2 linked regions of the Solanum lycopersicum genome follow. The protein of the gene in region 1 interacts with the protein of each later gene in a pairwise test. Links are inferred from orthologs where the notes say so. Each region holds a gene or a part of one and is shown on either strand. Other genes may lie near its edges.

Evidence for each region.
Region 2: the proteins of ARF10A (region 1) and IAA32 interact in a two-hybrid assay, tested with the Arabidopsis thaliana proteins (2 studies listed by BioGRID). The link is inferred for Solanum lycopersicum from reciprocal best matches to the Arabidopsis thaliana genes ARF10 and IAA32.

Annotation. Positions count from the first base shown.
Region 1 is NC_090810.1:59,526,457-59,528,976, reverse strand, and holds the end of ARF10A (auxin response factor 10A), read left to right. Parts: intron 1-472; coding exon 473-1,359; intron 1,360-1,497; coding exon 1,498-1,560; intron 1,561-1,680; coding exon 1,681-1,762; 3' UTR 1,763-1,922; downstream 1,923-2,520. UniProt on the Arabidopsis thaliana protein: Auxin response factors (ARFs) are transcriptional factors that bind specifically to the DNA sequence 5'-TGTCTC-3' found in the auxin-responsive promoter elements (AuxREs). Could act as transcriptional activator or repressor.
Region 2 is NC_090804.1:3,347,186-3,351,181, reverse strand, and holds IAA32 (auxin-responsive protein IAA32), read right to left. Parts: upstream 2,377-3,996; coding exon 2,223-2,376; intron 1,641-2,222; coding exon 1,404-1,640; intron 1,178-1,403; coding exon 1,069-1,177; intron 606-1,068; coding exon 539-605; downstream 1-538. UniProt on the Arabidopsis thaliana protein: Aux/IAA proteins are short-lived transcriptional factors that function as repressors of early auxin response genes at low auxin concentrations.

The sequences.
Region 1 (2,520 bases):
CTGAGTATGTTTAGGATTTATGTCATGTTCCGGTTATGCTCATATTACTCGTAACCAGCCCACTAACAGGAAAAATCTGATGTTTCCTTTTTCATGATTATGAAGTGTAGATAAACACATTTCCTTCTATTGCAAGGTCATTCGATAAATAGTCCACCTTTTTCTTGTTTCTCTATAATTTTCAAGGGTTTACTTTCTTTCTCTGTCCATCATTGTTTTCTTGGGAATAAGGGTTATAAGTTTTTGGGATCTGTCCAAGAGATGTACTCTTCATCTTGTGTCATATTGGGAACTTCAGAAGAAATGACTCGGTATTTCATTGGCAAACTATGGCATAAAATAGATGTTACATTTTTTCTTTCATACAACTACTTTGATGCCCTCAAGATATAAAAATGCAATATGCAGTTGCGGCTCTGCTCACCTTTTAGTCTAAGTTTAGGGTGGTAAAACTTTTCTCCATGTACTGCAGGTGGCATGGGATGAACCTGATTTATTGCAAAACGTAAAACATGTCAGCCCATGGCTTGTCGAATTGGTCTCAAATATGCCAGTCATTCACCTCTCGCCCTTCTCACCGCCAAGAAAAAAGCTGCGTCTACCACCAGATTTCTCACTTGACAGCCAGTTTCAGTTACCATCTTTTTCAGGCAACCCCCTCAGGTCCAGCAGTCCTTTCTGTTGTTTATCTGACAACATCACTGCAGGCATACAGGGAGCCAGGCATGCTCAATTTGGAGTACCTTTATTGGATCTTCACCTTAGCAACAAATTACCGTCAGGACTGTTACCACCAAGTTTCCAGCGCGTTGCAGCCAACTCACAACTTCCTAATGTCATCAATAAGTGCCAAAATGACAGAAATGATAACATCTCTTGTTTGCTTACAATGGGTACTTCAAGTAAGACATTGGACAAAAATGATAGTGTGAATACACCTCGGTTCTTACTCTTCGGTCAGCCAATTCTGACTGAGCAACAAATCTCTAACGGATGTTCTGTCAGTGCTCCACAAGTAGTCCAAACAGGGAAAGACTTAGGCAGGATACAACCGATCAACGAAAAACATCCTTCTGAGCAGAAAGGCAGCATTCAAGACAATCTATCAAGTGCAACATTTTTCTGGAATCGAGGTTATCATGCAGCTGAACTTGGTGTACTCAATACTGGTCACTGCAAAGTATTCCTCGAGTCAGAAGATGTTGGCCGTACACTTGATCTGTCAGTTATGGGATCATATGAAGAACTGTACAAAAGACTTGCAAACATGTTTGGACTTGAAAGACCAGATATGCTGACCCGTGTGCTCTATCATGATGCAACAGGTGCTGTTAAACACACCGGAGATGAACCATTCAGGTGCCTTGTTTTTTCCAGTACCTTCTGCTTTTGATTATTTTTCCAGTGAAAATGGTCGTGTATACGTGCGTGTGTGAAGCACACATTGTTTATTTAAAGTTTAATGAACCTTTCTCTCGGACTTGTTTAATTTTGCAGTGACTTTGTTAAGAGTGCAAAAAGATTGACAATTCTGATGAACTCAAGCAGCAATATTAAAAGGTAATTGTCAACCATACTCTTCCTTGATAGCTAAGTCCTTAAAACCGGAAAGTATGATAATTTTCAAAATAAATGTTCCGTATTTGCCACCTTTTGATTTCTTTTAACCTTGTATATCAGGAAATGGTTAACTGGTCTCGCAACTGCTGAACGTGGTCTAGATTCATCAAACCAGGCAGGACCTCTTAGCATCTTTGCATAGCCTCTGTGTGTATAAGTACTTTTCTCGTTCTTTTGTTTTTCGTAACGACTGCTTCACTGCTAGTACTAAGGAACACTATCAGTGAAAATATTATGTTTGTTTCTGTATGGATATTTTGAGTTGCTCTTTGTGTTGAAAACATTCAATGTGCTTTCTTTAACAGTCTGTGGTGCTGTTGTTGGTGTTTTTACTCTGAAAGGACATGAATATGTGAGCCTCCCCCCCCCCCCCCCCCCCCACACAACCACGATGCCCTATCGTTGCATGCTTTATTGTTGAATTGTATGATCTTCTCATCAGATAAGAGTCGATCCTTGTGATTGAGTTTGATTCTTTTTCATGAATCAACTACATTTACATTCATACTATGTTATATTTTGTGATTTTTATTTAGCAAGGTGTAACTTCATTTAAAATGTTAAATGTTTCAATTAGGAAACTAAGAGCAACTATGTTTTGGTCATATGTTTTCATTTATATGTGACATGTTTGCATCTTAGTATTAACATTCTAATATCTTATTGTCCATAGTACTTGGCATGTCAATATTTAATTCTCTATTTTAATGATCAATCACATATTGGAAAAATGACCAGGAACTATGTGTGGAAATAAATGAATGGTCTAGAAGCAAATAGAGTAAAGACATTCATTTCTCACCTACTTTTGTCTCCTTTAAATACTTATATTAATGTGAACTTTGTTCCTTTTTAACTTTTTTTTTTAAATCAAAAGGAACAAATTAATCTAACTTCGAG
Region 2 (3,996 bases), on another chromosome or scaffold:
TTACTGACTAAATAAAATGGAAATAAGTATAATGAAAATAAAATCGGATTCCAATCGATTTCACCATTCATATGTTACATTTCATCATAAAAGGTATCAAATAACTCGACTTTAATAAAAAAAAAATATTGTGATCTAGGTTTGTTATTGGATAGGGTAGGCTAGGGAAGCCCAACCTTATGGGCTGGCCCAATATCGATCCAATCACCTTGGGCTACAAGCCCGCTATTAAGTTCGATCTTTCAATCATAGATAATTATCTAATAGACATTTTAATTTACGATAAAATTAGTTAAAAAAAATTTATTATCTAATAATCTTAATATTTATAATCAAGTTTAATGGACAAATATTTTGAAGCCAAAAAAAAAAAAAAGCATTGATCTATTAAGATGTAGAAACAATTAACTTTTAATACAATACCACATAAGCTATATATTACCATGGACCTAATTAATATGGTCACTCAATTAATAGAAATATTAATACAACTAAAACATGTCAGAAATTTATCAAAACGTAACTTAGTAAAAGATGATCAATTGGGGAAGAATGCTTCATCTTTCCTCATAATTCTTAGCCTCTTCACTCGATCTGCAAATTCGCTGTATGAATAATAAGAATTTAAGTTTTATGTATTAACGATATTAAAAATATTTAAATGATAATGTTATTTATAAAGTATGATAAATCTATACGGTGATAACATTAATTTAAATTTTATAAAATGATAACAAACATGTTATCACAAGTCAAATCATGTAAACTCAAGTTAAGGGGTTTAATTTAATCCCTTTACCCCATATTTCTCACGGATCATTTTGGATTAGTCATCTAGACCTAGTTTGAATAAAATCTGACTCATGTCAATATAGACAAATGAATGAATCATTAGTTCGATTGAACTTAAACTATTCAGACAAATATATTTGTATAAGTTAATTTTATCGTTCAATTATTAATTTGATTGAACGTCGACTACGACAAATCATATTTTTATAGATTAATTTAATTGTCCCTACCTAATAATATCAAAAAATACTTTTTGATATTAAAAAAAATACTCACTTCCATGGAACATCACCAACAATCCTCCATTGGTCATTCCTATCTTTGTAAAATAATGAGAACTCTGAACCATCTTGGAATAGCCTTAGCCCATCCATATTTTGTTTACCTTTACACCATTTATAAAAGAAAAAAAAAACAAATTATGAGGTAATTAAATATATCATTAAAAAAACGAAGAATTCACCTGCTCATTTATTAATTCAGTTTTGACATGTTCAGTTCAAATTCAGTGCAATTCGCTTATTTGACATCGCGACCTACCTATAACTACATTAAAAATGACCTAATGATAGTGTAATGATAAATGATAATTTTGATAGGTTGGAACATACCAAACATGTCTTCAAGTTGTGTTGCAATGCTAGAATAGCTTGAATGTTCAAGAAGACAAATTTTTCTTCCAACAATAACTCCATCCATATTAACCTTCACATATTCCCATCTCTCTTTGCTTTGAATCCCTTCACTTTCATCATCATAATTATTAAAATTTGTAGGATATTCACTTCTTGAATTTTTGCTTAATTGTGGATGCAAATGTTGCCAATCTATCAACTCATCATAGCCACCTGCATAAAGTACTTAACAATTAAGTCCTAATTAAGTTGTTCGGACTCTCTAAAAATGTTATCGAAGCTATATCATATCATCAAATAATGTGCTTTTTATGAAGGGTTCGATGCACATCCACAATGACTTTTTTAAATAGTCCGAACAATATAGATTAAATCCATTATATATTAGTTTCACTAATATCAATGAATTTTAACAAAACATTTTCAACTTCCCAATAGCTTGGTCAAAACACTCTTTAAACTTTTCATGTCACTTCTATAACTATATATATATATACATACATAAGAATAAGAATGATTCATAAAAATAACATCAAATATTAAATTGTTTCCAAATTAAAAATATGCTCATCAATCTTATAACATCAGTATACAATGATTAAGAAAAAGACTTGGGATATTTCACCCTTAACCAGAGACTCGAGGTATGAAGAAGTCTGGTAGAATTCTTAAATAGGTCTTATATAATGCAAATCTGAATTAATCGAATCATAATACAGATACCAAATATCGAATGGACCAAAGAGTTGATTGAAGAATAGTCTTGAGAAGTAAAAGATGGGAACATAAACATACCATGAGTAGATGGATAATAGGCCTCAGGCTGCAAAGCTCTAAGACTTAGTCCCAAATCAATAAAATTACCATTCTCTTTATTATTGGTTTGATAATAAACAGAAGGAAGAGTTGTTGCATGGTTTAGAAGATATTCAGAAGAATTTGAATCCATATTTGACTCTTTCACAAAATAAATATTTTTGCTGTGTCAATGTAGAGATAAATAGAAGCAAGATATGTATATGATTGAAATAAATTAAAGAGACATATAAGCTCTATATAGTAGTACTAGTTGTTTAGTGGCAAATTCAGAATTTAAACGTTTGAAGAAAAAAAGTGAGGGGAGTCTTGAAAAAATGGTAATAAATTTATCACCTATAAATTATGAGTTTGAACGGTAAATCGATTATTGATGTTTGAGTCTGAATACATAGACGGTCTACATCACACTTTATTGGAGTGATGCAACTAGCCTTTTCGATAACCCTATGTGAACACATTATATTTCGTGCACCAAAATATCCCTTTTTATTTGTGTACAAAATGAAGGAAAAAAACAATAATTAAAGCAATGAATTCAGTTGAAGTCACGTAACACATCACATTCTCCCTTGTACTTTTCATGTCCATGCAAAACAAAACACACTTCTTGCAAGAATAGAAAGAAATCTAGCTATATGCTTGAAAAAAAGAGACATATAATTAAGTTCTGTATAATATATAATATAGTACTATTCAGTGATAAATTCAAAATTTAAATATATCAAATTCAAAATAAGTTTATACCTTTTATATATATCCATTCTTTTCATATATATATATATATATATATATATATATAGTTCGAAAAAGAAATATTTAAAGCAACAATAGAATTATTGCTAGCGTCAAAGTATATTGTGCACGATTTCATATTCCTTGAGGGGAGGCCCTTCCCCGGACTCGTGTTTTGTATTTTAAACTATCCTTTTTTTACGTATAAAATTTAAGTGAGAGAAAAAAATAGATTGAATTGAACTCACAGAACGTATATTCTAATATTTTTCATGTCCATGCAAAACAAAACACACTTGTTGTAAGAAAAGAAATAAATCTATCTAGGTTAAGAAAAATGCAAACATGGATGGTGGACATAGAAATAAAAGGAATTTATTTCCCATAATCAATCATTGTAGTGTTAGTTAATTTTGTATTATTATTTTTTAATTTACTGACATTTATAACATGGAAAATCTCAATGGATAACAGAAAAAAAAACAAGATATGGGCACAAAAAATCCAACAAAAGTAGGGTTCATATGTTGTATACTTCCAACATTACAAGGATCTTTGCAATATGTTCTTCTTCATACCTTTAAATCTTGTATTTCACACTAAAAAATTTTGCTCTATCGAGCCGGATTTAAAATTTAAATTATATTTGAGTTATTTAAGTTGCACGTTGAATCTACTTATCAGGTGGAACTAATATTTTTTTTATTTTTCATCGAAAAATTATACTTATACATATGGGTCAATTTTTTTTAATGTATATATATTATTGGGCAACTTTCACATATAGCAAACAAAAAATTCATATTTGTATGTTATAGCAAAGTTTTCATAATTGCGCTCCATAGCAAATATATAACCGTATAATTTGCTATACATGTACAACTGTATAATTCGCTGGCCTATTTCACTGCAATTGTATAATGCGCAATTGTATAATTCGCTGCAATATGTGTATAAAATTTGTTTTGCATACAATTGAATCGAAGTAAAATGTTTGTATATTGTATAATTATAAGTG